Styela clava: one gene and its partner. The protein of the gene in region 1 interacts with the protein of each later gene in a pairwise test. Links are inferred from orthologs where the notes say so. Each region holds a gene or a part of one and is shown on either strand. Other genes may lie near its edges. The genes, in order: cleavage stimulation factor subunit 3-like and uncharacterized protein LOC120347561.

The links.
Region 2: the proteins of cleavage stimulation factor subunit 3-like (region 1) and uncharacterized protein LOC120347561 interact in a two-hybrid assay, tested with the Drosophila melanogaster proteins (2 studies listed by BioGRID). The link is inferred for Styela clava from reciprocal best matches to the Drosophila melanogaster genes su(f) and CstF64.

Annotation. Positions count from the first base shown.
Region 1 is NC_135255.1:8,581,069-8,592,952, reverse strand, and holds the start of cleavage stimulation factor subunit 3-like, read left to right. Parts: upstream 1-7,191; 5' UTR 7,192-7,477; coding exon 7,478-7,507; intron 7,508-8,055; coding exon 8,056-8,151; intron 8,152-8,260; coding exon 8,261-8,356; intron 8,357-11,884. Other genes in the region: sodium/potassium-transporting ATPase subunit beta-1-interacting protein 3-like, read left to right, coding at 96-120. UniProt on the Drosophila melanogaster protein: Essential protein, may play a role in mRNA production or stability.
Region 2 is NC_135250.1:3,969,840-3,981,659, forward strand, and holds uncharacterized protein LOC120347561, read right to left. Parts: upstream 4,924-11,820; 5' UTR 4,545-4,923; coding exon 3,111-4,544; 3' UTR 1,743-3,110; downstream 1-1,742.

The DNA of each region.
Region 1 (11,884 bases):
ACCAAGATTAAGTACCCGATGTTAATCAATTTCTGTTGTTAAGAGTCATTACGGTAAATTAGCAAAAAAGAAAGTTAAAATGTTGTTATTTACAGATCACATCGTGTTGCTGAGGAATAAAATGAAAAGATGGGTGTTAATAAAATTGTTTCATTTGTCCAATACAACTGATGCTTTTTGCTGGCTTTTCTAAATATTTTTCTTGATCTACGGATTATTATCTATATTATGCTTTGTTCATTTTGTCATCTTTGTACTTTTATTTGATGGGGCTTTTTCTATTTTTAACAATTTGTTTGAAGTGTTATGAAGCAGTAGTTGAAATCATTTGATATTTAGTATGCTGCGGTAGGGATTGGCACAACATAAAACATCATTTTTACATCAGATGGTGCAAGTTTTTGTTTATTACTTTGTTAATTACTCAACTCTTTCTTTCGCATGTCTGGTACATTTTTTTACTTCACTATCAAGTCTGTAATATTTTTATGCTTCGTTTTTGCACAATCATGTCTGCCATTCATCATTATTTCATGTGGTTGAATTATTATTTATGATCAACAGAAATACAACACCAAGCCATAATGAAAAGAAGAATATTGTAAAATCTCCTGAGCATGTTAGAGTAAAAAGAAAATCGTACTTTATTATGGGATTGTTTATTCACCATTTTCTTTATATCACACTTTTTCACATTGTTCTATCAATTGTATAGTCACAACAATCTAGATCAGCAACAGTTCTATTTCACTGATATTGTACAATGTAGCTCATACTGACCGACCACTGTCTGTAAATTATGGGTGGTGAATTTCTATATTTTGTTTTTAATAGAAGTTGATTTCTGTATTCTGGCGAATTTGCAAGTTCTTGTTGAAGTATATTTCATTTATTTGCCTATGTTTATGCTTTGTTACAATGAAATTAATCGCATAACTAAATTTTAGGCTTGGTTTTCTGTTAAAATCCAGGATGTCTGATTATAAGGTTCGCACTGCCACTACTTCTTCATTCATTACCGAATGTTATACAGGGCATCTAACAAATTTTGTTACCGGTATCACATACTTCCCTCGTCAGGTCAGCCAAGTGAATATAACCGCTGCCCGTAGGTTTCAGTCACTCTACACAACTTTAAGTAAGGTAGGCGAACAAAATTAGTTACCTTCGTATTCGTGCACACACTTCTGGAGCGGCCTATTTTCAATAGGGTACCTTGGGAATGAAAGTTCGAACCTGCGAAACCACGCGGGGTAATCAGAGGTGCGCTTGTGAGCTTATTTCTAACGCTTAGCACGAAGCAATACACCGTCATCGCCGATTAGAATTCAAGAGTAAGCAATGGTGCGAATGACCAAAGCGTAAAAGCTTTCAGGAATCGAAATAAAAAAGATAGGTCATCTACGTAACATGAAACCCGCGTCGACGATGGGCGCTGAGAGTTTTAAAGTCGCTTGTCATTCCATTCAGAAGTACGCTGCGCTGGTTCAAAGGTAAATATACCCAGGTGGTTATCGTCAACGAAGCCGCTTGCTTCCTCTACCGCCGACCCCATGCATAATAATAATATAATTTTATTTCGATCTTTCGTCTACAACACAAATAAAAAGAACACAGACAAGGTCAACTGAAAGATCGGGAAAGTGGGCAAAACCTATATAAAGGTTTATAACGAACGCTGTAACCAGCGATTATGCCCATTCACACACGTGAAACACACCAAGACAATCATACTAGAATAAATTAAAGAACAGAGTACATAATCACGAGAAAATAATACATAATCACGAGAAAATAGAATCTAACATTGACTTGTAAGCGGCCAGCTATCATTTCTCGGGACAGATAGGGAAATTATATAATTTGTACACTTGATGCTAGGCGAACTAACTTCGTTCACACGTATTCCAGGTCTAGATTAACCCTTAAACGGAATAACCACGAGCTTAGGGCACTAAGAGAAAAGGGGAGACCACAGAAATTTCCACAGTCAACTTTTCAATGGCGCCTCAGTGTTTAACGAAATAATTCGAGTTAGTCTGACGAGTCAGCCCCAGAGGCGTAGCTTAGGGGGGGCAATGGGGTACATATGCCCCCGGGCGCCAAGGTACAGGGGCGCCAAAATGGGACTTGCAAAAATGTCACAACGAGGGTAAAATACCAGTCACATAAAATAAATCTCACAAGCAAGATTGCACCGGCGGCAGTCTAGTCTTAGTACATGGCCAACTGCACACTTGGTCAGACCACTTACGCCGACGTCATCAGGCACATAGCTCGCGCACGGAAACAAAGCAAAATCTGATTTGGTAACGTTAGGTAATAAAATGCACTGGGTTAAATACGTGGTTCTGTATCGATAAGTTCTTGCCTGCGCACTACGATGTAAGTTGATATAAGTTCTGTGCTGGAGACGAAAAGCAACGGAATTTGGTTTAATGATGTTAAACAGCGAAGTGCTGATAATACATGTTTTGAGTAGTACGTGGTTTTGTATTTCGTGGTAAGCTGCTAAACGTTTCCAGGTAGCCCACGACGCAGACCTTACTTTTGGTGGCAAGGGATTGTTCAGTTCCCGCCTGTCAACAGCATTCATAAAAAGTGTAGTTTATACTTAGCCCTGGGCCTAATATTTATAACAGTGGTTCTTAAACTTTTTCGAGCGCGACCCAAATCTGAGTTTTATGAATACTCGCGACCCAATCCTAAATAACGCAAAATGTGTTTTTAATGTTAGTACAGTTTGACTCAAATACAGACAACTATTTATTAGAAACAGTCCATTGACTCAGTGAGATTGATAAAACTGAAATTTCCTTTTCATTATATCTTCAATACACAGCTCTATTTTACTTAACGCAATACGCAAGTTGTCACGGGTATCGAGGCGATTGCGAGCTTAGTTTTGATAACCGTCAGTGCCAAATATCCTCGCTCGCACAAGTGCCTTGTTGCGAATTGTAGCAGAAAAGGCGTCCGCTGTCCGTCGCAAACACGACATCCTAGCTGGCCTTCGGTATCTCTCGCAATATACAACTTTTTACTCATCAAATGTGCACACACTGCTTCGCTTGCGGTAAATGGTGCCTCGAGATGAAGTCACATTTTCTCTAGATATTGAATAATCTAATGTCGAGAAGCGAGCTTTTTCATTGCGTCGTCTATTACAATTTACATTACCAAAAAGACACCCATTTTTGGTTATTTTAATCGACTAAGACGACATTCCACGCGGTCAACACAACGACAAGCGACGTACATGGTTACCGATACCATAAAAATAATACACGTGACTGGCAAATCAGAATTGTGATGTAACAATGAGCTCAAGACAGTTCTTTCCGTGAATGACATTTTATATTTCATTATTTTTAAATACCAGAGTTTAGAAGCTAAATTGAAACATTGGGAAAGCTGAAAATTCTTCCTTCTCCTCTTAGATTGCCCTTGCATTGATGACCTTGTCGCATTTTTAAACCTTCCGCGACCCATGTTTGGGTCGCGACCCATACTTTAAGAACCACTGATTTATAATGACCACAACGGCATCGCAACAACTCAGTTTGATGCATTGGTGTCTACCAGCCATTGGCTCTTCTTGGTTTTATTGTGTCTTTTGGAGACGACGTTTTCTCGAATATGCGAATTTCTCTACAAATTTTGTTAACAATACCAGTTTCAATTGCAAGCTGTGAACGGTCTTTCAACAAATTTAAACCTATTTTGTCGTAATCGCGTGCATCAATAGGACAGGATAGTCTCAGTGATGTTCTAAGTCAGGGGTCGGCAAACTTTTGTCGTTCGTGGGCCAAAATTAAAGGTTGCAAGTCATTAGTGGCCCGCATATATTTTTAGAAAGTTAAAAAACGAGGGAATGGCCAGTAAATCACATTTTTTCACACAGATTTCAGTTAAATTTCAAGCAGCGCACAAAAACTGATCATTTTCTGCGCCATTAAAGCATTTGCACTCAGCATCAACTTTTTTACGTTCTGTTGCCATTTGTCTATCTATAATCAATTTAAACGAGTGATTGTGAATTATATACTTGTTAGATTATAATATAACTTAGTGTCTCAAAACAAATTCTGTTACGTAAAAAATATAATCGTCAATACAGTTGTTTTGTTAATATAATTTAGTGAAGCGTCGCGGGCCGGATTATATTGTTCCGTGGACCGGATCTGGCCCGGTTGCCGACCCCTGTTCTAAGTGTTGAAAGAAAAACATTGAAAAAAAAAACAGATTTTGATGACGTGATTAACCAGCTTGCGACAGTGAAATCAAGAAAAATAAATTTATTGTAGACTATGTAAATCATCCTTGACAATAACTGAGTGGGACATTATGGACATACTTTGTATAGCTTTGCTTCTTCGTTAAGAGAGAGATTTATTTCCACAAACAATGAAAAAACAGTATTAAATAATATCAATAATTTTTATAGAGTTAGACTATAATGAAAACAATGAAAAATAGTATAAAACAATATCGATGACTTTTATAGAAGTAGTCCAATTTACACATTGTTTTGTGTTAGCCAGTATGCAAGACCGTTGAAGGTCATCAAGGCTCCTGACCAATTTAACACTGTTATTGATTAAGAAGTCGGAATTAATTGTTACAATATAAATATAAAAAAGACGGAGAATGAGTCGGCAGATATTTTAGTTCCACGATTCAACACTAAAAGCACATTGTGATAGAGTTTAGAGGACATGTGTAAAATATATATAATACCAGTGCTACATTGTGATCTAGTACATTACAGATCGCCATAACAGAGTCGGTCTCAGTATAAAATATAAATGAACAGAATAGCACAGACACATTTGCACCATGTTATATAAATATTACGGTAAGACAATTATTAAGTAAAATGTTCCATTAAAATTTGAATTGTTTTACATATACAATTAAATGTAATAGAAAATATGATTAAACGTGGAGGTCGGGGCGCCAATTTTATAGCTTGCCCCGGGCGCAATATATTCTGGCTACGCCTCTGATCAGCCCTCAATATTGTTCCGGTTAAAATAAATTTTGAGATTTTGCTTGTTTTTCTTTCTCAAGTATCATTCTTAAACCTCTATAAATGTTTGTAGGCATGAGAATTATTTCTAAATAATATTATGCAAATGAATCGAAAATGTATACTGAAGTCGTTCCACGTTTGAATAGCATTTCACCGTAACTTCTATAGGCCTTCTGTTAAAAAGCGTCAGTTACAAAGCAAGACTTACACGATTTGGCGCTGCTTTATTATGCTGATAATTCTGTAGGCGTATAATGTTGCGATGATATTGTAGCCAAGTATGAATTTATTATAAAGCACAACAAGCACAAGCTTACGGCACCAGGACAAAGAAAGCACAACAGAAATTTTCATAGTATAGTGCCCAACGACTAACGTACCGATAGTGCCTCGGTGTTTGATGAAAAGATTGCCCGGACGGTTCGGACCTGAATATTAGCCCAGTTGAAATAAATTTTGCTTTTTTTCCCCAGGTATCATTTTAGCCTCATAAATGTATGTACGTAAGTATGAGAACTATTTTCAAAAAAATCATGTAAATCAATCATAATTTGGCCTTTAATCAGTAATGAATACTGACACTTTCATTCAATTTCATATAACATGGAACACTAGTTATTTTCCTATTATTTTTTAAATATACTTATACCTTACATTATATCCCGCGATGTCACTCAACGACTGTATAGCAAAGTAACAAACCCATATGGCGAGTTGTCTCTTTCTCCCTCCGAGCTCGCGATACCGTATCTGTACTCAAACAGATATGAGTGTCTCCAATGGCTGAGAATGAAGTGAATTTATGAAGTTTTAGACTGTCCACCCACTGCCGACCTGTCAGTTTAGACTAGATGAGCAAAGTCTGTACATACATTTTTTATTATCAAAATTGATCAAAGCAAGGTCTGAACTGATACAGCTAAAGTCGCGATACGGCCATACCAATGTCGTAACTGAAATATCGACCTCTTAAATACGATTTTTGGACTTATCAGAACCTTATCCTACACCTTGGGTGTCGCTATTTGATAAACAAAATTCGTTCCCGCGGTTTCCCTTCCCGGCTTTATCGATTACCTGTACAACTGTGTGTGTTTTTAGATTAAAATATTTTATTTCGCCATGCATGAAATATTGTAAACAAATAATAATGAATCGAAATGAATCAAGTCACAAAAATAACCCACAAAGTTTCGCGAGCAGTCGCGAAAGATCGTCCAATAATCGTGTCAGCGACACCCAGGTGCAGGTGGTTTATTTTGTAGTCTTAGATCGTACGTTACGGCAGTGAATACCAAAGTGGTTTATAGCACCTCAATGGTTTATAGTCCTGTAGTCACTTTGGCGAATACGGTACCGGCATTGTCCCGAGGGCCGGGACTTGGAGCTTGCAGAATAGGATTCACATATTTATCCCGGGGGGAGTTGAAAGGCGATAAGACGGCTCAATCACATGGCGAACCACAGCCGAATCCCGAGGTTAAAGCTTGCAGAATAGGATTTACATATTTATCCCGGAGGAGTGGAAAGTCGATATGACGGCTTAATCATATGGCGAACCACAGCCTTTCATCCTGTCACAGTGTTACCTGTTGACTACCAGTCCATGTTTGCAGGTCGGATTCTATAATCAGTTTTATTTATTTTGCTTTTATCAATGTCGACATTTTACCGTCTATTATGCTGATTATGGAGTCTAAATAAACTTATTTTCTGAAGCATGGACTTGATGGTGGAGGAAACTGTAATTACCGGTAACCCGCAATACTCTCGTCTCGCACACGGTATCTGGATATCAAAATATTGCTGTTTGCTGCAACAGTCAGTATTGTGTCATGCTTATTTTGATAATAATTCCAGAATTCAATGAGCGTCCTCCGTCATATCACTGAAATAATAATTTCTTTTGCTAAAAACACTCGTTCTTGGCAAAATCTCCCATCTTATAAGATATCCTGTACGTTTTGAACTTTGCATGTTAGTGTTATGCTGATTATGGAGTTCAAATATACTTATGATACGGTAAATTTTTTTCTTCAGTAAATCGTGCCGACCACACTGTCTCAAAAAGGAGGGGTTTGCATTCACTGTTATAATTGCTGTATTTTAATGTGGGGGACATTTATTGTAATATCGCAATCAAAGAACTGTACTGACTCTTAAACCAATAAATGAACAAGATTATGTCATAATTGAGATAAATTACTTCAGCTTTTCAGGATGAAATGCATTTGCTATCTTTTAAATTTTTGTCTTGGCTTACAGATAAGTATTAATCTATAAACTTAAAGAATATTTTTGTACAACATTATTTAATTTGATTGCTTTCTCCAGAAACTTAAGGTAACAATACTTACAAAAATCTCTATTAATGATTAAAAGCTGATCAATGCAAAATCTATACTTAATTTGTTGTTCAATAAAGGGTTCAAAACATTGAATATGGCAACAAAATCACAATCAGAAGAAGTGGTGAGATATAATGAAAATTTATTATAATGCAATTTCTACTTGGATATCCAGGATATCTTAGAATATTATGCACCTAAACCACAAATCAATTATGGATATCATGCCATAAAACATTTCTGTTTTTCCTAACGAAGTTACACTGCAATTAATAATAGTATTTTAGCAATGGTTTTGAATGTTTTTTTTTTTATCAGCTAATGTTCTTTATAGTGTAATACTGGTATTATGTGATATACTTTCTAAAGTCTTTTATCAGTTTAGTAGTGGGACAACCTGTTAACTTTGATGTTTATTACACATTAAATGTTGTTAAATGATCTATCATCAGACGACATACAGAATATTTCAAACAGTACTAAATATGTCTATGTAAATAGTGATTAGGAACGAATAAGAACTTTTCAGTATGTATAGAATTGTATTCATTGTTCTGTATTGCGTGGTGATAATTATATCATACTCACTATCATTAATAATGCCAAAAAAATTTATCTTTGTACCGCATAACTTGGTATATAAACATGAGGTCCATTTTTCTTCAATTACAGGAGTATGTTCCAGAAAGAATCAGGAAGATAGAAAAGAAATTGGAAACCAGTCCATATGATGTTGAGTCATGGAACTCACTGATTCGTGAAGCCCAGGTACAATCTATATTTTATTACTGAAATTGTGACATTTATCAGATTTTGCAATTTCATTCATTGTTCCAACATATTCTTTGGTACAAGTCTTTTACATTGGATTTTTCAGACAAACTCTATTAACAAAGCTAGAAGAACATACGAACGTCTCGTTTCACAGTTCCCAAGTGCTGGAAGATATTGGAAGATTTATATAGAACATGAGGTGTGGTTTGTAATATTAAAAATATATTTTTTCTGTATTTGTTTGCTTTGTCGTTCTGCAAAGGTGAGACAGATTTAAGCTTTGTTGAGTTCTTTTCAGTTTGAAGGTTCTGCTTAGAAAAGTGGATTGCCTAAAATATAATGTGTTACAAGATCCCACTTAGTTTTGAAAAATTATCTTATTGGAAGTGAATTGTGTCTGGCTGATACTGCTGAAATGCTAAGAAGTACAAACTTATAATCGAGATGGAGACTATGCTGTTCAAACACAAATTAATACTAATTGACATGAGACTTGATGCCGACCAAATATATTGTTGTGTGCAAGTTCCTAAACCCTCAGTTTCTGGTCAAGTCTGAGTCTGAAATTAAAACCAGGATACCATGTCGTGTCAATATTTACTTAGGCATCAACGCGCCTGGTTAAAGTTGCAAAAAGCTAGTGACACTTTAAAGTTTGAGACGAGTCTCTACATTTAGTTGCTTCAAATCTTCGAAAACGGATCAACATTGATCAATGAATCAATTCTGCTTGGCCAGTGGTATTTACATTAGATGTTAGCTAGTGGCCAGATGGCATTCGTGTAGTGAATAATATTTTAGGGAGTTTAGTGTATGATGGTGTTTAGCATGGCTGTTTCATATTCATCTAGTGGGTCTTTGGTTCAGTTTGATGAGACAGAAACATGCCAAGCCACAGATTCGTCGATCAATCGTAGTATGGTATGCAAAAGTCAGATGATGCCGTTAGACTTCTTTACCTCTGCCACAGCTTTACATTATGTAGAGCGAATATGTGATTCTACGACCACACCTTATCAACTTTGATGTGATAATGAAAAATAAGCTGTCAAATGCTTCTACATACATTATCAATGGCGTCTTGGAATTTGTTTGTTTCCTATCCCTTTCTTGTCTTTTGTGAGAAAAGATTTTCTTTGAGAAGTTGTATGGACTTGTTGTGTATTTTGTTGCTGGAAGTTACCCTAGTTTTGAAGGCATAACAAAGTTACTTGCGAGGTCATATTGTGTTCTGTTTTCAACTTGTGCTATTAAGCAAGATCAGAATTATGCTTTATGATATTTGGAATTGAATGCATTTTCTCATTTGCATTCTTTCTGTCATAGTTCTGTCTACAGATTTCTTCGGCCTTTGAAAAAGTAATTTTTCATGGGTGGAGTAATTGTTGGCTATTGTTTTTATTTCATTGGGTTTTTGATGGGCAGCTCAAATTGTCCATCCAGATCCAGTCTGACTAGTCTTTTTGCCATCCTCGTTATGGCTTGGTGATAGTGCTGTAATGTGGTGAATTTCTTCTTTATAGTTCTATCCTTCTTTTTATCAATACAATCTATACAGATGCTTTGATTCAACACTTCATAAGTTATTCCTAACAAAAAATGCTTCACATAAAGATCTTCATCGACTTCATGCATGTTATGTATCAATCCCATTCTGTTTCATTCCCTGCGCGCACTATTCCAGTGGTTAGAGCGTTGAACCTAACTTTGAATCTAAAGATCCTAAGATCATCTGCCATGCTCACCACCTCTTCCAGGATGTAATATATCCAGAGGGTATTGCAGCATATGGAAGATTCGGATTCTTTATGCATATCAATGCTTGTTTTGCTAATTATTAAGGGGTAAAAAACTCCACTATAAAAAGTTGCAGGCAGCATATTGGCGTTCAATCGCTGATATTGAGGAACTTCTATTTAAAAAGATAATATGCTTTCCTGATTGGTTCTTTATGTTTGAATTTGTATCTTCTTTAAAATGCTATCGTTTATGTAGAATTTCGTATCGAGGCAGCTTGGTTTGAAAATTTTTGAGTGCGAGTTACTGTTCAGGGGGAGTTATAGCAGATTTACACTAGTTATTATATACTTACTGTGCCAATAAAAAATATGCACAAAGTGAACATTTATGAACTTAGTTTTTTGCATGTTTTACTGTTTATATATATTTATCTTATGTAGGTTTTATTGATATTAAAAATGTACTTTTTATTACATTTGAATTCTATTATTTGGTTGATAGCGGAAATAACAGGTTCATATGTGACATATATCTGGCGCGTTTATTAATATATAAATATCTAACTATTATGGGATTTACAAAAGCTTGTCTTCTTAGAAGTAAGAGATGGGGGAAATAGGAAAAGTTGTGTTTTCTGGGATGCCAAATCGGGATGGACGTAAAGGGAAAGTTAATTGCCACCATTAAGTGATATGCTGTATGCCTCCACTGTTAGTACCATACGCATAGCCAAGAAGGGGCGATGTCCCACCGAAAAACATTTTTTGACGCAATTTTGCGGCATGAGACATAAATTCATACACATTTTCAAAACCATTTTGCTCTGTTCTTGAACGATATACTGAAAACCGGACATTTCCTGGATTGCTATCAATAATCCTTTCACCTAATGAACCAAACGAGATAGATGGAAATGCGCACTTTTATAACTTTGACAGCGAAGTATGTCTGTAGAGCAGACATGGGCAAAGTACAGCCCGCGGGCTAAATCCGGCCCGTTGGGTAATTCAATCTGGCCCGCCTGATTCTGCCACAGCCAAACTGAAGTCAAATTTTGACGTTTCAGCTAAAATAGCTCAAGCAATTTGTTGCGACTGCGGTTAAATTCAGTTCTGGCATGAGGCTGAAATGTAACTTTCTAAGTCACACTTACATGGCCCGCCAGTCTAAGTGGGCAAAAAAAACTTGCCCCCTCCCTCAAAATTTGGGCTGGCTACACCCTTTGTTAGTATCTTGCAGCATGTCTTTTGCACTAGTTTATTACGATGAAAGTTCTCTATGCGTAAAGTAAAAGTTGAATTCCACTATTGAGTGATATGCTTTGTCCTACTGATGGTACCTTTCTGCTTATGTCTTCTGCACTTGTTAGGTTTATTATGATGAAAAATCCTTTATTCATGCCCTCAAAGTTTAGTCGAGCTCATTAGTTACTTTCAAATAAATAAAATAGTTATCAACAAATTAACATCATATTCATGAAATGAAAAGTGTCAGTGGTCAGGTCCGCATTACGACTTTTAAATTTATTTATTCTTCAAATACGACTTTTAAATTGCCTTCCAGGCTTTATTGTCAAACAATTCACCACGACGAGTTAATACAATACTAGTGATATATATTAAGCCGCTCAAACAAGAGGGGGTAATGTTTGCGATTATGCATCTCGAGTTGGTTGGCGTAACTGAAGAAATACATTAGTATTCAAAATTTCTCACACTCGCTTGTAGGTGGACAGACCCTCAATACTGTGGGGGCTCAAGTCGATTCCCTGTATTTCTTGGTAAATTCGCCTATAAACACTTGTAAAATGCGCGTAATGTTTTTTTTTTCACGGCGGTGCATTTCTCTTCTACGTGTCACATCGCGTGATGCGAACACAATATAATTAGAAACGGACATATATCAATAAGCTGCCCATAACCTCGGTAATAGCCTACATATTGTAAGATTTCAAAGTATGCGGCCAAACTATTTCAATTTTTGCTTG
Region 2 (11,820 bases), on another chromosome or scaffold:
CTTTCTATTTTTCCGCCACGACCCTAGTCGATTATTCGGAACAGGCCAAATAAAATACTCACTATATATCACTAATACAAGTAAGCGTTTTCTAATTTTAGTTTATCAGCTAGTTCTTTTGCAAATAAACGCACCCAAGATGGCGCGGCGGTGTGGCTCAACGGGCTAAGCGTTAGGAATACGCTCGCCACCGCACCTCTAACTACTCTGCGTGGGTTCGCAGGTTCGAGTCCCATGCAGGGATGGTTATGTGCGAGAGGATTGCTGGACTCCTCGCCGTCGTTGGGTGGTTCACGTAACCGCTGGTCGGTTACGGCTTCCTCCACCACCAAGTCCATGCTTCCGAAAACAAAACAATACAGTATAACTAATCCCATACCCGACTTGGAATGGTGACCGGACGAGAGGCCGTGGTTCACCATATGGATAAGCCGTCTTATCGGCTTTCCTCTCCCCCGGGATAAATATGTAAATCCTATCCTATCCTAAGATATGGCAAATTCAGCAGGAACAAACTTGTTTCAAACCTACGCGAGCTAGATCAGGATTAGGATAAAATTTACATATTTATCCTGGAGGAGAAGGAAGTCGATAAGACGGGAAACCACGGCTTCTAGTAGTTATCAGTCCATGTTCGGTATGGGGTTAGTTATTGGACACGTAGTGGGCATAACGATCGTTTCAATATTATGTTGTTCTTGTTCTTGTTGTTATTTGACACAGAATAAACCGCTTTTCTCTTTGAATACTGGACCAATTGCTTTGACATTTTCAGTGGTTGAAGATAAAATTTTTCACCAGAAGGCTATTACTTTTATTCATTTTAAATATTTCTGTTAGCTCTGTGAGATTCGTTTTTGTTTGCTATGACGTCATTAAACGTTCTGCGGATATCGGACGCCATTTTGTGTCCTACTGTACTGCTTCGCTTGGTGTGAATATATTTGTAGATTGTGATCTGACGGTACGGTACACCGTACTGTACTGCGAACAGACGTGTCCCTATATTTGGGCGTAGCTCTCTTGTTTGTTTCAGATTCATGGACTTGTCAAGCGTTCATTTTTCATGTGCTATATAATGAAAATTAGTTATAGATTGATGAGCAAATCAGATCACATACCTTAAACCAACAATGGCCAAAAATGGTGAGTTCACTATTTACATCTAAAATGTTTTTTTGAATACCGAATATCAAATACATGCCAACAGGGATATTTGCACAAATCATTTCAAATCCGGAATTGTAGATTTCCTATTTTTGCAGCTGCGGTCCCCAACCTTTCGTGCCACCCTCCTCCCCCCCCTCCATTTATGACTCCAGTGGTATTTATAGCGTTATTTGATTGGTAGATTCCGAGTCCAATTATGTTCAAACTCCAATTCATGCTCCAAGTGAAAACACTGTGTGAAATAACCTATCAAACAATGAAACAAGGCAGAAAGGGGAGTTTTCTAGCAAGGGTAAAATTAGTTATGCACCTGGCATGGTGGCCGCAGCAACTGCTCTGTGCCCTGCAGTTGGGAACCACTGTTTTACAGTGTCAGTAATTGAGCGAATGTTATACGCTTTAAATAATGAACCCACGAATGAGAATATTTTGACTTATCGCTGAAATCAATAAATTACTATACTGAAATAAGGAAATGTATTTGGAAATTGAATTCGCTTTTAACATCTCTGATGGCTGCTTGGTCGTATAACTCCCTCTTGTCTATTCCAAACTAATTTGCTGTATAGTACTATTGTTTGTTATTATGATGACTGTTATTTTATTTCGATTGACAAAAAAATAAAATCTCTCTCTCTTTGACTGCAACACATCCAATTCAACAAAACAAGAACAAAATTTGATCTGAAATACCCATTTATGCAACATTCTTATTTCAAAATTTTGCATATGCTGAATTCTTTGAAATTCTAATGCTAATTCAGTCAATTCACCAAAAGTAGTGATGAATCCCTCGACCACCATTTATAAATGATTGTTAAACACAAGAAAAAAATAACAATTATCAATATTGAATTAACCAACTTTTTTCCGCACAGAAAAAGGTGCATTCAAGTCACATTTAATAACAAAAAAAACATCAAAGCACCATATATATGATTGATTACTCTGCCTTCTTGATAACAAAAACGTCCAATCTCTTTAAAAAAAAATCGAATGCTATTTTCTAATTTCAATAATGATCAAAAGTGGAACCTTTTGCCACACAAAAAATACAGTCGAGTCAAATCAAAAGATTTTCAAACATAACAATACATCCAACAAAGCACTATATAGATTGATTACTGTACGTTTTACTGTTTGAAAATGCTGTTCTCTCTCACCTTCAAAAAACAAAAGTTTATTCGAGTTCGACTAGAAAAATTGAAAGTCCTATTTTTCCCCACATAAAAAGGTTCAGTTAAACTGAATTGAATTCAAATTTCCCAAACAGCACTTAATCAAACAAAGCACCATATACTGCATGATTGCCACCAGGTAATCTCATGTTGATAATAAATAAAGCACCACCGGTGCTAGCAAAACAGCCGAAACATCAGCAAATTACCGTATATCGTTTTGCTAACACCGGTTGTGCTTTATTTATTATCAACAAAAGCACCATATACGATCGATTGTGTACGCTTTTCGATTAAACCTAAGATAACAACTCTCTTTTCTAAAGTTTCAGAAAAGATCGAAAACCCAAACCAAAATACAGAGAAGCTTAAACCAGGGCTTCAAGTTGAAGTTTGGTATGTCGCTATCGCTATAGTCAAAGCCAGAGTCTAGTTTTCCGATTCTCGGGATTCATAGTTGAAATTCTAATTTCAGTCTTCCAAAATCAGAATTTTTAAAAAAAAATATTAAAGGACATCAAATTTACTAAGCATTCTTATTAACGCCTTTAAAGAAGGTTGGCATACGCAAAATTTTTTCTTTTTATCAAAACTTGATTTTCTCAGAGTTTTGTCTTGGAGTCAAAATAAAAGTAAAATTTTTTAAACACAAAGCCAAATTTTTTTAAACCAGATGGTTAATTTTCCGCAAATCCACCTGGCTTCACTAAAGTCTCCCAAAAAGATTAATTTCCATTGAAGTCTACAGAGCAAATTCAATGCTCATTGTCGCCCTCCAGTGATCTGTTCCTTGAGAATCATGATACTCTTTCTTTGTTCTTCTGGCAACATAGCTATTTGTTCTGGAGTGAGTTGCAATACTTGCATTATCAACGCTGCCTTTTCTTGGTCAGGGTTATTAGGGTCAGGGGCACCTGCAGGTGCAGGCCCTGATGCGGCGGGTGGAGGGGCTGCCCCACTTGTGGGACCAGGTTGTGGCCCCAGTCCCCTTCGAGGGTCGCCACCACCCCGTTCTAACGATGACCCACGATCACGACTTGGACCCGGTACATTGTTACGTTCCAATGATCCTCCTCTTTGATCAAGCAATCGGCCACCTCGGTCGTGAAATGGTGGTCCATCTCTATCTATAGGTCCCCGATCTGGTGGTCTTCTGTCCATTGGGGGACCCCTGTCCATTGGTGGTCCACGATCCATGGGCAGCCCACCCATACCTGGTATAGCATCCATGCCCCTATCTGGGAATTCTCTTCCAAACGGGCCACGCCCAAACGGCTCAGGGCTACGCCTCCCTCTATCTCCTCTTGGACCCATTGGGGGGCCTCTTCGATCAATAGGATGGTCACGAGGACCTATACCCATTGGCTCACCACGCCCTCTATCTATAGGAATATCCATGGGCATTCGGTCATCTGGATGTCCGCGGCGTGGTAGCATTCGAGGTGGTGGGGACCCGTCTCGTCGCCTTGGTATATCCATGGGTTCGTCTATCATTCTGCGAGGAGGTTCACGATTTCCATACGGACTTCTGCCAGGTGGGTCACCATTCGATCGACCATCGACCGGTCGGTCTAATGGTTCCCCTGCAGGAATAAGATTAGGAACTGGGTTTTGTCGATGAAGCATTTTCATTGCAATTTCTGGGTCCACAATACGCATAACCACTTGTGCTTGTAGCAAGGCATAAGCAAGTTGTGGATTTTGTAAAAGCATATTTCTAGCCTCAACTGGGTTATTTTGAATACATTGTTTCATCTGTTTCATAAGTTCAAACATTTGTTCAGGCGGTAAACTGGCAACTGCTTTGCTAATCGCTTCTGGTGCATCTCGGGATGGGACAGGTTCACCATATGGGCTTTCTCTCGGTGGGCCTATGGGGCCCATTTGACCTAAATCTTCCATAATTCGATTTTTCTCACTTGTAGCATGATCAACTCTCAGCGAACGGCCATGCAGTTCGCGATTATTTAAATTTCGCATAGCGCTCATCGCTGTTTCAGTGTCTTGATATTCAGCAAATCCATAACCTTTTGGTTTCCCAGATTCTCGGTCAAAAACGAGACGAAAACTGACAACCGGACCAACTTCTGAAAATATATCTCTTAGACTCTCTTCAGTTGCTTCATAAGGAATATTTCCCACAAAAACTGATCTTGAAGATCTTTCCAAATCAATCAAATCCCGGTCTCGATTCATCCTCACGCTTTTGCAAATGTATTTAAAAAGGTAATTTTAGGCTGGGACATAAAGAAATTCAAATTTAATTGAACTTAAAAACAAACTCTCAATAGTGACGTTTTAAGAACTTGCTATAATAACTTATATATTAAATGTAAAACAAACAAAATAGTGCATCTATGAAGAAATTATAGATAGAAAGATAGATAAAGATTTGGCTTGGAGAAGTTCAGTATAGTTTTAGCTCAGTTCATGTACAAAAAGTTTTAATTTAGGTAGTTTTCAGCAATTAAAATTCAAGAGAATATAATCCAAGGTTCCTGTAAGTCCCATGCATTAAATATAGGAAGCGAATGTTGTAAAAGAGGATTATCTCAAGGAGAAAATATTATCTTAATAGAACACCAAGAGTAAAACCTTATGCAATCTGCAAAATTATATAAACTATTATATGAGATAAACATAGGGAAAAAGTCCAAAACAAAATACTGATGAGGATCATAAACAGGGCACTCTATCAATCTCACCGTAATACAAAGCTTGAAAATTTTAAAGAAATCATAAAGGCTGTCATTAGTGAGAGTCTACTTCATTAACCAAAAAATAGAAAAACACATTAAATTGTAAATAAAAGTTGTAAGAGTTGATATTGGAATCGATTCAATTATTGAGTGGGGTACGGGGGGGAATTCATAAATTAAATTCAGGTACTTCAAAACATTTCTATAATATCGATGACTAAGTGTCTTTTACCAGCTAATTAAAATATACATTCACACATAACGAAGGCAAAGGAGTAAAAGTAAATATATATTAAACGTAAAAAAAAATTAGAAAAACCATACATAGGCAAAAAGTCTATATTTGATACGACTCAAAAGCATTGACGAAGTGTGTATCAGTTTAGCTCATATTAAACAGCATGCTTAATCTGTGAGGCGCTAGCGCTCCGCAAAAATGCACGCGAGCGAATTCAATTTTGCACGCGAAAATTTGCAATTGCTCACCAATGTAAATCGGTTCAAATGGTTTTTATATCAATAATCCAGTAATACAAAGATGCCAAAAAATTATAACTCCACAATTGTCGACTAATACTAGCTTGCAAGATTTGGCCTGATCGAAAAATGCTAAGCAAAAAGACCATATCGTGTTGAATGATAGGAATCCCATGAGAATAGTTATGAGCGAAAAGATCGCCTCCTCACCGACGCTGGCCAGATACGGCTTTGATTCAGCATATTTTTTATACAATAATTCTACGTAAAAACACTTCCAAAATTATTGACAATATAAGTCCTTTTTGCTCTGATTCAAACTGTAGAAATAATGTTTGGGGGTCAAAGGTCAAACGTCCATTTTTCCTCTGATTTAACGTATATTTTATCCGATACTGGTAATTTTACGCGGCTGTATTGAGAGGTATCTAATGTCAAAGTAAGTTGCAGCGAGCGTAGTTGTTTTGCACGACGTGAGCTATAATTGCATGCCAGGAATTCTTATTTGCACGCGGGAATTTCTGATTGCACGCCTGATTTCTCGTTCAAAAAGGCCCTGAAATACAGACTGGGCCAAGGATACGTCAGCCTTGAAAAGATGGTAATTCAGTGATAACACGTCTATGAACTGTAAATGCTGAGTGACAATCGCCACTCCTGTTATTCGACTAATGCCAAAACGATCTCGATAATTTATGCTACTCTTTCACATTACGTATTCTGCTATTTTCAGATTTCATGTGCCTGCTCGCTGCAATATGCACCAAAACTACAAACTGACAAATAATAAGTACTGAAGTATAAGTTTATTTTGAATGCTGACGTCATAATTTTATAAACGATACCGGTACGATAACTAACTAAATATGAAAAATATGCAAACTTACGCGAACCTAATTCCAATCTTAATTTTCCGATTCTTCTGCCAAGGACGAAACCGCGAAATGCCTCGTTTGGCTGAAACAATCGTAAGATGGCGCTCCCGTCTCAAAAGAAAACTATTATAATGGTTGCCACATTTTTTTATTTCGAAACACAAATTTATTTTGAAAACTATGTAAGATGCACGAATATATCTCACCCTAGTGTGCGTTTATTGAAATGAATACATGACACGCTATTATCAATTGAATTAAAAATTCTGGATAGTTCATTCATATAAAACAAATAATCGGATAACTAGTATTTTGGACGTTTCCACGACCCTTGACTTCTGAAAAACTCTCCCTACAATTTATCATTGCAAAGTTTACACAGCTTTTTCGAGATTGTTTGTAAGAGAGTAATTTACAAACATGCTCACTTCAACAAACACTCACTCACATCAATTTCATTAGAAGATTTAACCTCGTCCCGCTTGCAGATACTGATATACAATTTTAGGCTAGTCTATGGTCGCGTTTGTGTTGATTAAGATGGAGTAGGATTTACATATTTATCCCGGGGGAGATTAAAGCCGAGGCTTAATAATATGGCGAACCACGTTCTGTCGCCCGGTTACCAGCCCATGTCGAGTATGGGTTGGTTAGCCAGTTATTTGTTTTCGTAGGCATGTACCTAATGATCGAAGAAGCCGTAACCGACCAGGGGTTACGTGAACCACTCTACGGCGGCGAGAAGTCCAGCAGCTTTGTGGGCGGACACGTACATTGTACGCTTTTTAACTTTTTTGAGTTATGCCCGTATGTATGTATGTTTATTTTTCTCAAAAATATAACAGTATCTGCATAATAATTAAACAGTAAAACAGAGACGGGAATACATGTTCAAGACCTTACTAGCCTAAGACACAGATGTGCGACATGCACCCCTACTAACCCTTATAACAGCCGTTTAGGACTGCTGCGGTATAATAGGACAACATACAGGTATCTCTGCACTTTGTTTTGTCTGTTTATTTTTTGTATTTTTTATGTCAGAGAACCAAAATAAATGATTGATTGATTGATTGATTGAATCCTATTGCATATAACTAAATCTGCATTGGATTCGAACAGATAAACCCACGCGGAGTAATCAGAGGTGCGATGGCGAGCGTATTCCTAACGCTTAGCACGATGCGCCAAACAGCCGAGTAACAAATATTTTATGAAAGCACAACTGGAATATGATAAATAAAACGCAAAACCTCCAAAACGGGACAATGTTTACAAACATGCTCTATTTTTGCTCTAATGCAGCTTCCCAAACTGTGTTCTGTGTTCCGCGTCTTCCGAGCGTTCCGTGGAAAAGAAATCAAGAATACGTCTAAATTGGTCTCTATGGCGATCTTAGAATCGTGAAATTGTAGCCCAACTGACCGTTTAATACCGAGTCACCGTCGGCTTAAAGATGACTAACTAAAGTAGGGTAGTAGCATTTTCGTTAACCGTCGGTCTAGCTTTTTGATTGTTAAGTTCATTACCAAATTTATAGTAATCCTTTGGTTTTGCTATAGGCAAACAAGCAGGTCTAAAGAATGAAGGCAAACTAGATTCCGCAGATAATTGAACTGCAGCTCGCGAAATTGCAGCAAGCACTTCTATCTCCATTGAACGTAACATTAGAGGCAAACACTGCTTGACTGAAAGTAAACGGTATAGAAAGGTAAAATGATTTTATTGATTCATATACACACCAATAAAATTAAGAAACAATGAAACAGTTATAAAAATACGATATGTAAAATATTTAATCATATTTTAGGTATGTTTAGTACAAATCTGTTAGTTTTCGCGGCGCATTTGTCAACTCGCCACGGCAAACCCATTAGGAACCGCAACACTGCACCGTTTTTTTTTATAAATTTTATTCTTTCATTTTTTGTTGTTCCGCAAGGCGAGATAAAGAAGTGTAAGTGTCCGAAAATGTTTGGGAAACACTGCCTAATAGAATCAAATAACATGAGACTCGAACTTGCTTCGTAGCTTCACGAAGTCACGGAACCGATTACCCGGATGGGCGACCTATGTTCGACCTCAAATCGATTGAGCAAGTGTTCGCTTTACATTCTGAATGTTAATTTATCATGCTAATCAAAATAGATATGAAATTCTTATCTCATCCTATGTTGTTGTAAGTGTATTTAGATTAAATGATGTCAGAGGTCCATGCAAATGTTCCTTTGTTTGACATTTTGTGAACCATTGTATTGTCATAAATTGTGAGTTTGTATATTGTGAAAATACCCGTGACAACGTGAATTCATTTAGGCACCGGTTAAAAAAAAACAAGGTATAAAAATGTTTTAAATTATAAATTTTAATAAATTATTAATTTTATGCTTGCAACTATTTAGAAAGTCTAAGATGAATAAAGATGTGGCCCGCGGTTTCACCTAGTCATTTGTATCTAACTCTCCTGTATTAAAGGTCGCACATCTCTGGCCTACCTAATTAATCACACCCTTAGTAGCGACAGGACATGGGATTTAGATGGATATGTAACCAGCGGTGCCAGTACATTCAAGTTAACGCTTTTACCGCGCAAACTATCTCACAGTTGCATTTGTGAAGAATAAAACTTATTAGTGTTTTTGAAATAATCCTATATTTTCATCGAGTATGCGTTGCAGGTAGGGCTGAGCGTTTTGAAACAATGTTTCGAAACGTTTCGAAACACTGATATGTCGAAACGGCGGCGTTTCGACCTTCGAAACGGATATTATGACGTCATAGCAAATGCAACCTGTAATTAGTGTCCAATTCGAATTTAATATCCGAATTTATTCGAATATCATGACTCTCAAATATCGTTTTTAGTGTTTATAAGAATATTAAATATCGCACAAACGTCCAAGCGCCGCCGTCCACGTTTTGATCGACAATTTTTACAATTACAATTTCATGTTTTATCGTATACGAAGACACTCTTTGCGAGGTGCAATAAATTACTGCCGACATAAAAGGATTTAAGTCAGCGTCGACTTGAAGTACTTATAACACGTCGAGGAAGTTTTTAATTGAAAATATTTTACAATTATTATGATATATTTCAACATAGTCGAGATAGTTTGGGGAACCGCGCAATAAATCTAAAATCAAATCAAATTTAGCTCAACGATGTCGATGTCACGATGACGATAAACAGTCAGAGTCATAACGAAAATTAGCCGTGTCAAAAATCCGAGTTAATATTGATTTTACTGTATAATTCAAACATTCCACCTAGTTGTTCTTTTTCCTGTGCTTGCCAAGATGCACCACAATTCATAAATACTGTAATGTTTATCAAGTCCATTTCCTTAGAGCAAAAAAATAACTAATTTCAATCAATAAAAGACCAATTCCTATGTTCCTGGAGTTTAGAATGTATTCGGAATTCGGAAGATTCAAAAATATGTTTTTCCAGAATGTATTTGAAATAGTCAGGTATTCGGTTATGGCTTTCCCTTGTATAATTACCACACTGGATCACAAGGATTTGTGGCATCGGATAAAGTAGAAAATGACCCCACCCATTACATTAGATGAGGGCAGGGCCGCATTGAGACGTTGAGAGGCCCCATGCTATGCTGCTTGCGAGCCCTATCTCTAACAATGACGTAATTCGTATTATCCTGGTGCCATTTGGCCGCTGCTTTGTCATTGAGCAGAAACATTCGTGGAATTATCATTATCGTTTTATCCTCTCGAATTAGCATCCAGTGCTATCGTTTTGTGGATTTAATTGTGGAAAATAGATGTCATTATACATTAAATTCCATGGGTAATAATGGTATCATATTTCACTGTTTATGACAAACGTGTGTTTCGTTTCGTTTCGTTTCGATTTCGTTTCGAAGGCAAAATTTCGTTTCGATTTCGAAACACCAGTGTTTCGAAAATGCTCAGCCCTAGTTGCAGGTTTAGTCCCAAAATATCAAGGATTGAGCATCTATTACTTTTAAATTTTCTTGTGGCGCTTCAACAGCTAGTCCATCGCTGAACGTAACTTGTTGCTTGTTTTAATCGGTTTCGAGTTCAAACTTTTGCTATGAAAACTACTAGCCGTATGGTTGACTTTTATTCGAACTTTAGTCAAAAATGGAATAACATAATATGTTATTATTCTGTTGCACAGTGTGTGCTTTAATGTATCACGATAATCTTCGTGTTGTAGTAAATACAGTCCTTCATTTGACGTATTTTGTAAACCTAAGGCATTTTATTTGTTATAAATCGCGAGCTTGTTTATGGTAAATAAATCGGATACAATTAGATTCCTCTAGGCGTTTCGAATGCATTAAATATTGCCGCAATGATAGCCAAGATAGGACGCCTGGTTTCATATTAATATTTACTACCAAGACTGTTAACAGTTACATTTAGGTGGAAAAGGGTTGAAAAATAATAAGATATAAGACGTTGTACTATAAATTGTCCGTCAACAGCTTTTGGAAACTGGCAAGGACGTTTGAGTAGCGTTAGCATAAAAGTTTTCATTTTTATTCCGGGGAAAAATGAAGTCGATAAGACGGCTCAATCATATGGCGAACCACGCCTCTCGTCTGGCCACCAGTCTAAGTCGGTTAATGGAAATACTTTGCCAGGTATTTGTTTCGAGTGCATGGACTTGATGGTCTCGCAACCTGTCGCACTGAAAGTGCGAATGCACAGTCTAAATCAGAAAACGTTGCACGTGAGGTGGAAGTTAAAATTCTATGCGTGGGAGACCGACTGATGAGCATTTCCACTATGTAGGGTAGGGCAGATGAGGTAGGTGATTAGCACGTTAGTCAGGTATCCCTGTCCGCATGACGCAGAAAATTTTTGGAAACGATCGGGCCAGAGGAAAGGGGTCAAAACGGGGTTTTAGTGGCCCGAGGCTGTTCATTGGTCAATCAGCTGTCAATCAAGTCACGCGAGAGTGATTTAGGGGTTTAGAGGCCGTTTAGCTAAGTTTCCGGGGCCGGAAAGCGTTTGCCCGACTAATAGGAATTTTTCCAAGTCCTTTTGGCGGTGGGGGCTGTGCCCCCTCGCCCTCTGTGGTGAGAGAACTCGTGCAAAGCCACGCCCACTTAGGTTCTATTGTTTTTAGGCAATTCTGAGGCATGTGAATGGGATTTTGGGCCAAGATTTGCCTAACTCTCAAAGAGTATAAATATTTGAAATTTTCTTTACTGAAAAATCGGTGTTTCCCCCTCCCAATAGCCCTCCAGTGGCGTAAGAAGGTTGCGCACTTAAAAATGGAGCTATTGAGAAATGAAATAGATAGGTATGGTTGGAAAAATTAGTTTAACATTTTTTTGAAGAAATTTTTGTTCTCTTACTCCCCAGTCACGCTTTAGTGATTTTGGCTTATTGCAGGACTCTGAAAGGACATATTGAGAAAGTGAA